Arabidopsis thaliana: one gene and its partner. The protein of the gene in region 2 interacts with the protein of the main gene of each other region in a pairwise test. Each region holds a gene or a part of one and is shown on either strand. Other genes may lie near its edges.

Region 1 (4,935 bases), about 13 Mb from region 2:
CTGTAACTCGTATTACGATAAAAAATACTGTGGAGGATAGAATTTTGGCTCTCCAGGTAAAGATCCCTTATAGCTGATACTTGTTTCCCCCCTCAGTTTCTCTCATTTGTGGTTGTGTGATTTTTGGTTATTATTATAGGAAGAGAAAAGAAAAATGGTTGCGTCTGCCTTTGGTGAAGATCATGGTGGAAGCTCTGCAACTCGATTAACAGTTGATGATCTCAAATATCTATTCATGGTGTAGCTGTTCTTAAATCTTGGGTTGGCGAAGTTTCGCTTCTTTCAGAATTTTGATCATGAGCTGCATTCTTGTGTTCTTCAGGTTCACAGATTTGAAATGAGGAAATATGTAAATAACTTAGCTGTTGTCTCATAGTATATATAACATCAGAGTATATACTTTTTCTGAATCAGTTCATCCGAGATCTTCTTTCCTTTTGGGATCACATTACTCTTTCAATCTTATTATCAAGGTGTTTTGATCATGCAACACTTTTGCATGAGAAACACTCTGTGAATTTGCTAAGACAAGATAAAGACTAGATTGCTTAAACAAAATTCAAATATAAATGAAGCAAGAAGATTAGGTTAAACTAGATTCAATGTAAATGAAGCACGTGAACTTTAGGTTACAAAGTATTTGGACAGCAGATAAGTCGTATACTCTTTGGATAGTGAACATGTCCTTTAGTAACCTAAATATATATACCGAGTTTAAGTTATTTACAATACACAAATGACAAGATCACCTGCTTAAAGATAGGCAAAGTTTGGCTGGTCTCTGAAAGAATTTGGAGTTCTGAACTTGAACCGATCATCAAATTAGTTATCTTCAGCTCAAATTGGATTTGGTTTGGTATTACACCCACACCAGACCAAATTGAACCAACACACAAAGGCTTTACATGCAGAGGCAGTAGAAGCATTTAAGCCAAAATAGCATAAAGAGACAGAAAGTCACCATCACAAAACAACTAAGATTGTGTCCCCATGTATACAAAAAAGAAAGGGACTCTGCTCATAACCAAAATAGAAGACAAACTGTAATATATCATTCACTTCCTGCATCTCCAAGCTGATACCGAGTATAGAGGTCGATCTTGCCAGCAAATTACTGCGCACCCGCTCTCTTCCTTGATTCTATACCCATCAAAACCGCACCCTTGAAGCAATCTCCTAGCCTGCAACATCGCATAATAGCTAAGAGGAACATTCCCAAAACCAGCCAAATCGATCCTCTGGCTCCATTTCTCAAGCTTCTCGTGTCTTTCTCTTCTCTCAAATCCCTCGCAGGATATGATGTTCTTGATCTCCTCCCCGAAGAGCATCTTCTCCACTTTGATCCTATCTTGAGACGTTCTTGGAACTTTTGTTTCCAAGCAATCAAACAATGCTGCGTAGGTGTAAAGTGATTCTAATAGCCTCTCCATTAGTGTGGAGCCGTTGTGGTCTGAGTCTTGCTCAGTGACCACCATGACCTTTGGAGACAAACCCCAAATAGCATTGAGGAAGCTATCAGTCCTTCCTGAACTTGGTAAAGGCAAAGATGAGGCCGAGTCACCGCTAGGGCTATACCCATTGTTGTTACTCATATCATTCTCACGTGCCTCAGCTGCAGAGCCATGGCTCATCATTAGAACTCTCTGCAAGTCAACTCCACTAGGGTTGTTCTGAAACCGTAAAGCGCAGTTCTTTCTCATGAGATCATCATCAGAGGCCAAGAAGGTATGCAATTGAAGAACCGAGCTAACGGCTAAGGCCTCTCCTGTTTTAACCCGCAACTGTTCTACATTTAAACAGTCTAACCTACTCACAACGGGATTAAACTGAAACGGGATATCGAGTTTCTCTGCTTCCTCAATGAGTCTATGAGCCATTTGTTCAAGCACTTCCTTCTGGTGATGAACACCAGTGATTCTCAAATGAGGTGGACCTTCAGGCCTAGAGTTAAAAGCTTGAAGCAAAGCAAGCCATTGAGCTGGCTCAGAAGCATCGAGATCAATCACATGAACCATCTTCTCTCCTTCCATAGCCTCGAGTATAGCTCGATTAGTGAGCAAGTAAGAGACTTTGAGTATCGGGAACATCTCAAAGAAGAGTCTTCTAACATGAATCTCCTCAGAGACATTGTTAGTTCTTGTCTGAGTTGCGTTAAGAGCCTTGTAAAGACCAGGCCAGGACTTAAGGATTCTGTTAGCAAGCGCTTCGGTGAAGTAAGCAGCGATTCGCTGCATCGTGTCGCCGTCAGGAGAAGCGAGGTGAGAGAGCTGCTCGAGCGCTGCGTTAGCGTTTTGGAGGCTACCTGAAGCCACGTGGTTGGCACAAGTTAGCAAGAGGTGGATTAAGTAGAGACCACGCTCCTCTGGTTTGAGATCTTTGAGACAATGAAACGGAGATGAAGAAGCGAGGAGAGTCGGTCTGTTGAGTGACATAGTTGAGAAGACTTGAAGTGGTGATGAAGCTACAGAAGATGTTCCATTATCTTCTTGAAACATAGCCACCATTGAAGGCCAAAAGCTTGATTTTGATTTACTCAGAACCAAAAGTAACCTTTTTTGTAAAGAAAGATTTAAACTTTGAGAGACTCGTAACGAGAAGAACCAAACCCACGATTCGGAATTTCTTGAAAGATGCAGAGAATCTGCAGTTTAACAAAAAAGGGGGTTAAAGAACAGAGGAACTAGGGTTTGCAGAGAAAGTACTGAATTTTAAAAACCTTTGAATCTAGTTAAACTATTTGAAATAGATATAGACGAAGAAACACAAACAGAGAGCTGAATTAAAACTTTCCTAATTTGATAAACTAAGAAAGAAACAAAACAAAATAATAGCAAATGATCAAAGAAGATAACAAACAACAATAACCAAAGAAAAAAACTTACATGGATTTAGAGAAAATGTCTAAAGCTTTTTTTTTGGGAGTGAGAGGGTTCTCTCAATCTTTATCTCTCTATCCACGTCTCTGGTGGTTATCTTGTGAGTAATAGCGTGTGTGTGAAATGTTGTTTGTGTTTTGGGAAAAAACTTTAAGAAAGAAAACACTAAAACAGAGGCATTGTTCCTTTTGGCTCTACGTACCAGACAATGCGTGATAGTCGGTTTTGTCTTCTTCCTTTTTGTTTTTTTCGTTTCCTCTTTCTTCTTTCCTTGGTTTTAAGGAATTATTAAACAAAAGGTTGTCAAATTTTCCAATCCCATCCATCTATCTTATACTATTATGTGTACTAGTACTACATGAATGAATATCATATAAGAATACGTATTTTGATTTTGAGTGCTCTTAAAGTGGTGTAACATTAATAAATAAAACTGAATGAGAGTGTATTAGCTTATGTTGCATTTATAAATAAAACTGAATAAGAATACATCCATCAATCTTATACTATTATGTGTATTAGCTAATGTTGCATTTTCATTTTCTTTTAAATTTGTAAGACTTGTAGGAATTAGTCTTATTGATTATTTTTATAGTTATTATTTTATATAAAGTCAAGATAAGAGAAGTTTCACCTAGAATTTTCTTGATTTAGAGGAACTAAGAAGAAAAAGCAACACTTAATTATGAAGGAAGAAGAAGTTCAATGAACCCATTTGGCATTATACAAATTGGAATTATCTTATAATAGATACATACACGAATACAACATATATGTCTGTATTCGAGATTGGAACCTCCACTTTTATGGGTTTTTGTCATGGCATGAGGTGGATTTGGAATCATGACTATATATTTCTACATCAAAAAAATTGTTAAAGAGAAAAAAAGAAAGCTGTTTTGGTAAAATATTGATTCTGAGAAGAAGGAAACGTCCAAACACGCCCTAACAAAGACAAAACAAAACCCAAAAACCATCTCTTTTGTTTTTGTTGTTTTGTTAGAAAAACAAATAACAATAAAAGAGATGAGGCTGAGGCTTGGGTGTGGGATTTGTCTGTCTTCTTTAAATGTTCATTGTCTTTTCATTACTTTTCTCTTTGTCTTTTTCTTCTTTTTAATGCCTACATTTTTGTCTTCTTCTCTTCTTTCTCTCTCTCTTTGTTTTTTACTGTGTGAGAGAGAACATTATTCAGTTTTTAAACTAAAAAGACCATTGACCAGAGAGATTCTACAGAAAAAGAATGATGCTATTTTACTACTATTGTACCTCAACTTTTTTTTCATCTTATCAATAGTAAAATAGTACTATAAAGTGAGAAAAATATGCATCCATAACAACACAGTAAAATTGTTTTAGTATGAAATTTGTTTAGCTTTGACTACAAATTAGAGAATGGTAAGTTTTTGTTATTAAAAACTTTGTAGTTAGATCTCATGATATCCAAACATAGAATCACAATTTTGCTGAAGGAGCTTGGTACGAAGACCGCCTCAGAAGTAAATGATGGTTCTGTTTTAGCAACTTTGGATGCTGCTACTCGGGTTGAGCTTCTGAGCTCCCCTTCTTATGTCTTTTTGTTTGAGCATTTGTCCTCGTAGCTTTTTGTGTATACTCTCCACGTGGAGGCAACTCTCGTTTAAAGTTGAATGAAATGTTAGTTTGACCAAAGAAAATAAAAAATAAAGAATCACAATTTTGTGAAAACTGTGTAATAGTAGTTTTGTGGATCCTCCAGAACACCAATTAAGTCTAAAAGTGAAGTCAACTTGATAATGTCGGTGAGTTCTTTGTGATTGAAAAACTGAAAGAACACTATCAATTCTTTGTGATTATTCATGTATTTTATAGGGTTCAAGTTCAATTAGTGCCTGTACTTATAAAAGACTTCATTTGATGTAGTTAAAATATTAGATGGATGAATCAACTTATTTGATGCATTAAGAAGCAGTATAATCAAAATATCAAATAATAAAATTAGAAAACGGCAGGCTAACTTTGATAATCTAGGGAAATACATAAGTGTAGCTAGAGATTTGAAAACCTATAGCATACAAAT
Region 2 (5,305 bases):
ACTCGATTTCGATATCGGAAAACAAACCGGAGTTTGTTTGTTTATATCCTTTTACATCGACGAGCAGTGCTACGCAGAGGAAGATTAAGCAGCAATACGATCAGCTTGTTAAATGCAATAATGCCAAAGGATTGACACTAGCTCAGGTCACCTTCTTTACCTTCGGTTATTAACTATTTATGGAAATCAAAATTGGAAAACGTGAATTTGAAACATAAATCCAAGTCTATTAAGCCTGTGATTTCCTTAATTAGCATCCTAAAACCTCTATGTGGTTTATATACCTTTGTGGTGTTTGTTCAATAGCCTATACTAAACTCAGTTGATAAACTAAATGATTTTTGAGTTGGGAGGTTTCAATACTTAATCATCAGCTAAGCTTGCTTCCTTTTGATATATCAGAATGATTTACTTCAATCTAAACTTTGGATTACTATAAAATTCTGCCCAGTTGAGTTTTAGATTCTGATGTTTTCTGGGTTCTTCACTTCTGTAGGTTGGGGAGTTTGCTAATTGTTTGATAGAAGCCAAAAATGAACTACAACACAAGTAAGTTAACACTACCATAACATAATATCATATACTCTCATCCATTTTCTTAGTTCTTCCTACATTTTGAGGACACAGGAATTACAAATAGTTGCTTCCTGTTCTATGCTTTGTTATGTTGATGGTGTGACATGTTGCTTTACTGAGTTAGCCTTTTCTTCTCCGGTGACACTGATTTAAGCCTGATTGTGTCTACTGTAGGTCAGAAGTAATCAAGCGCAAGTTTTCAATAACAAAAGCCCTTCTCTTTAAGGCTGATAGATCTTCCTTTGACCGACTTCGTCAACAGGTGAATTTAGCTTCATCAATTGATTGTCTGATTTTTATCCGTTTGTTGCTTTTGAAGTTAATTGTTTGTGTGTCATCAGATCTATAAGCTGGAGATGGAACAAAAAAGAGTAGAAGAAGATGCACTTGTATATAATTGGCTCCAGCAACAGCTTAAACTCTCACCTGCATACAAAAAGGTTAAAAACCAAACTCAATCACTTGTTTCCAAAGATTGTGTCCTATGTGTCCAAAACCTCAAAAATCTGTTCAATGATGTTTCTGATTCTAGATTAATCTTACTGATTGTTGTTGCTGTCTGATAAACCAGTAGAGTCTTATCTCCTGTATTGGACTCTGTTAGCATAATTGGGACTTCCCTTGAGATTTTTGGTTATCTCTAGTTAAAGCCGTTAATACTCTTTATGATACTACTATAGGTTCTTGAAATAAGCGCTTCCATGGAACTCAAAGACAAATCGAGCACAGAGTTAGACAATCCAGATGATGAATTTTCAGACATTTCCTTCGAAGAGCTATTGGAACAGGAAAAGAAAGACTCGTTTTGGTCAGCATTTCTCTCCATCTCTCCTCAAGCTTATTAGTAAATCTAAATTACTTGCTCATATGAATCTTGCTCCATGTATAGGCCTTTTTGAGTATTTCCGCAATCTTTCTTCATATTGCTTATCCTCTATAACCATCTTACTCTCCACTCTTGTGTTGGTTTTCAGGCATAAAAATGGAAGATTGCGAACTTGCAGAACATGATTTGGTGATTGAAACTGCCGTGAGCTCAGCAGGAAAACTGAATCCTTTTTTGATGTTCTCCTATTTTTGGTGCTGTGTATAGAGAGTTTCCTCCATAGGGATGCGTTTTCTATATAACACATTACCCGGTTTTCAAATCGATTTTTTCAGTTCGGTTTGAATCAAACTGATTCGGTTTATCTGAATTGAGCAAAGTCCAAACGTGCATGAGTATCGTACATAGTGAGGCTTTTTTCGAGAAAAAACACTGTTGATAAAAATATACAAACACAAGCATCATGACTCATGGGGGATAAATGCACTTGAACCGACCGGTACAATTATATCTGCTTGTGAATTAGCTTTAAACCGAAGCATATGCAACGCGGCCAGTGGATTTTGTTCCTCAGTAAAAATCTGTCAGTTTCCGCCTCGAAATGTGAGAATTTCGGCCACAGTCTACTAAACAAACGCACTGGCCAGTGGCTATGCCTTTGGTTTCATTATCTTTTGCTTCATCTTCTTCAAAAGCCATGGCTTTGTGCTCTATCTGTCCTCGCATCCCTCTTCGATTCAGGCCAAAACCCATTTCCCCTTTTCTCTCAAAACCTCAAATTTGTCTCGCTTACAGGGTTTACTCTTCCCTGCAATCTACTACTCCCTCTACCAGAGGTAATTTCTTGCTTTGTATTATGCATACACTGGTTTTCCAGAACTATGAATTACGTTTAAATGGATTAAATTATGAAGTGTCGCTCTCTTTTTAGGACAAAACCCACAAGTTTCGAGAAAGATGATCGAATACTATAATCTCCTTATCTTTATCCTTTTTGGGGTAGTCTTATCTGAGGAATTGTGGTTCGTATGGCAGATGAACTTGGAACTGTTAGCATTGGGTTTCTGGGTATGGGAATCATGGGTTCTCCAATGGCACAGAACCTCATCAAAGCTGGGTAAAAAAGTTTTGATTTTTATGTGTAGACAATCTAATTCACATCAATTTTGCTACTTTACCTCTTTTTGATGTATTGATGATACTTACGTTGATCTTTCTGGGGCTTGGTTGTTAGGTGTGATGTGACTGTATGGAATCGAACTAAGAGCAAATGTGATCCTCTCGTTGGATTAGGAGCAAAGTAAGAGTTCCAATGCTTCTTATAAAGAATGATATTATTTACTCCGAGTGAGGTTTTAGAGCTAACGTAGAAGAAAAATTTAACGATTAAGAAAGTATCTCCCTTTGTTGCAGGTACAAGTCTTCTCCTGAAGAAGTGACTGCAACTTGTGATCTCACATTTGCAATGCTTGCTGATCCTGAAAGTGCAGTGCGTATGTCTCACTTTTGTTTGCGTCTCTTTTTCTTCTACTTTCACTCCATATTAAAACAAAAACTGTATTTTGCTTTCTGTCAGATTGATGTTGCATGTGGAAAGAATGGAGCCATATTTGGGATTAGTTCAGGAAAAGGGTACTTACTCCTTCATGAGACTTATGCTGGATATAACGTTCTATTGCTGAAATGTTTCAAGATATCTGTATTTCTTATGTAACTACAGAAGAGTTCACAGTCGTTCTTTTTTAATTTCTTCTTCGAATCTATATAGTAATGTGGTCGATACTTTCTGGTAAAAATGGGACTTGCCTTGCTACTGCAGGTATGTTGATGTCTCAACCGTTGATGTGGCCTCATCAATACTAATCAGCAAGCAAATAAAGGATACCGGAGCCTTGTTCTTGGAGGTAAAGGCTCTTAGTTAATCTATATCTAGAATCACTAAAAAACCTTGTAACAGATCTGGTGGCTTAAGTCATTTCTATTTTTGATATTCATAGGCACCAGTTTCAGGTTCCAAAAAGCCTGCCGAAGATGGGCAGTTAATATTTCTCACTGCAGGTTCGTAACAGCTTACTCCTCATTGAGCTTGTATTAATAATCGATCATCACTTTTGCATATCAGATTATTTTGTCTTCGCGGGTGACTTGCCTGTATTTTCTAACATGGTTGAATCATGAATGAAATGGAGATTTATGACTATCTGGCACTTGACATTTTAGGTGACAAGCCGCTATACGAAAAAGCTGCTCCTTTCTTAGACATCATGGGAAAGGTATCTCTTTTGCCTGTGTTTTGCTTTTAGTTCTTTTTTCTTCTGCAAATGAACCATTTTCGTTACTAGTTTGCATTATATGATCCAGTCAAAATTCTATTTGGGTGAAGTTGGTAATGGAGCAGCAATGAAACTTGTCGTCAACATGATCATGGGAAGGTATCATTTGACCATCTATCGCTTCATTTCTTGGCAAATTCCAGATTCTTCTTCTGATCTCTTTTTCTCTTTACCTATGCAGTATGATGGCATCATTCGCGGAGGGAATACTTCTAAGCCAGAAAGTTGGACTCGATCCAAATGTACTTGTCGAGGTAACTAAAACACCATTGTCCAGCAGAAAGTTTCTTACCAAATGTGCTATAAACCCCGGGAAATTTTTTTCTGCAGGTTGTCTCACAGGGAGCTATCAATGCGCCAATGTACTCACTAAAGGGTCCTTCAATGATCAAGTCAGTGTACCCGACGGCTTTTCCATTAAAGCATCAGCAGAAGGTTTGTGTAATTGTGTTACTTTCTTTTTTTAGATTCTCACAAAGACTCTGGAGTTTGATGAGACTGTAATTGACTTTTATCCGTCTATAGGATATGAGACTCGCACTTGGACTAGCGGAATCCGTATCGCAATCTACTCCGATTGCAGCCGCTGCGAACGAGCTTTACAAGGTTGCAAAATCTTATGGGTTGAGCGATGAAGATTTCTCTGCAGTAATTGAAGCACTAAAAGCTGCAAAATCCCGAGAAGCTTAGCTAAAGATTTGTTCAATGTGAAAATGTGTTTTTTTTTGCTGTTGTATGAAAAATTTCATCTTTACAACATGTCAATTGATAATTGTTAATTTTATATGAGAGCAAGTTAAAAGTGTCAAACACAAGTCAACCTTTGATCTCCTGATGTTGACAAAAGCAACAAAGAAAAGTGTTTGACCAACGTTGACTACAATAAATACGGCGCCGTTTCGGATATTCCGATGATAAGTTGATAACACCGAATCATTTGTTTCAAAAAATTCTTCAGTGCCTGAAGTGTTAAAATTCTCGCCTGAGCTCGTTGCCGTTTCCACTTCAACCATATTGGTTAGGGTTCTTTCTCTTCCAAGATAAGAAATTTTGAATGTTTGATGTCATAACTTTGAATCAAGTAATCGAAATTGGAGAAAAAAAATTCATTTTTTAAGTTTGGGTTTTCATCATAGACAGACGGAGAAATTAAAAGGTTTTGTTTTGACTCAGCTGCAGTGATCGATGGATTATAACTCAGATCGTGGTTATGATGACTCTTACCATCATCACGTACACGACGAACAATTACCACAATCGGATTTTGAAGTGGAGACCTTTGATGACCGGAGGAACGGTGGTGCAGCCGTTGATACTGGTGGGATTCAGATGAAGCATTCCGTTGACCATCGCCATTCTTCTTCGTCCATGTCTTCTCCTGGGTTCGTGGTTTCTTAGGCTTTATCTTTTTGTATGGATTTACTTTTGATATTAATCTCTTCTCAGCGGAGCTGGTTATTAAGATATTGATGGGGAGGTTTCTTGTGGTGCCTTTTGTCTTTGTTTATGTTAGGAAACTGTTCGTAGGTGGAGTTTCTTGGGAAACAACTGCAGGTATGGTTCATTTTCA

The links.
Region 1: the proteins of GLYR2 (region 2) and SCL3 interact in binary tests that used the Arabidopsis thaliana proteins (3 or more experiments, as listed by UniProt).

Annotation. Positions count from the first base shown.
Region 1 is NC_003070.9:18,677,122-18,682,056, forward strand, and holds SCL3 (scarecrow-like 3), read right to left. Parts: upstream 3,180-4,935; 5' UTR 2,883-3,179; intron 2,642-2,882; 5' UTR 2,505-2,641; coding exon 1,056-2,504; 3' UTR 573-1,055; downstream 1-572. Other genes in the region: AT1G50410 (SNF2 domain-containing protein / helicase domain-containing protein / zinc finger protein-like protein), read left to right, coding at 1-56, 140-244. UniProt on the Arabidopsis thaliana protein: Probable transcription factor involved in plant development.
Region 2 is NC_003070.9:6,068,714-6,074,018, reverse strand, and holds GLYR2 (glyoxylate reductase 2), read left to right. Parts: upstream 1-1,889; 5' UTR 1,890-2,054; coding exon 2,055-2,238; intron 2,239-2,333; exon of another isoform or gene 2,334-2,430; coding exon of another isoform or gene 2,431-2,437; coding exon 2,438-2,519; intron 2,520-2,636; coding exon 2,637-2,702; intron 2,703-2,815; coding exon 2,816-2,891; intron 2,892-2,978; coding exon 2,979-3,034; intron 3,035-3,221; coding exon 3,222-3,306; intron 3,307-3,399; coding exon 3,400-3,460; intron 3,461-3,622; coding exon 3,623-3,675; intron 3,676-3,763; coding exon 3,764-3,834; intron 3,835-3,916; coding exon 3,917-3,989; intron 3,990-4,065; coding exon 4,066-4,170; intron 4,171-4,260; coding exon 4,261-4,425; 3' UTR 4,426-4,595; downstream 4,596-5,305. Other genes in the region: AT1G17665 (CA-responsive protein), read left to right, coding at 1-146, 497-549, 751-838, 918-1,016, 1,257-1,384, 1,551-1,587; AT1G17640 (RNA-binding (RRM/RBD/RNP motifs) family protein), read left to right, coding at 4,921-5,117, 5,249-5,289. UniProt on the Arabidopsis thaliana protein: Catalyzes the NADPH-dependent reduction of glyoxylate to glycolate as well as succinic semialdehyde (SSA) to gamma-hydroxybutyrate in vitro.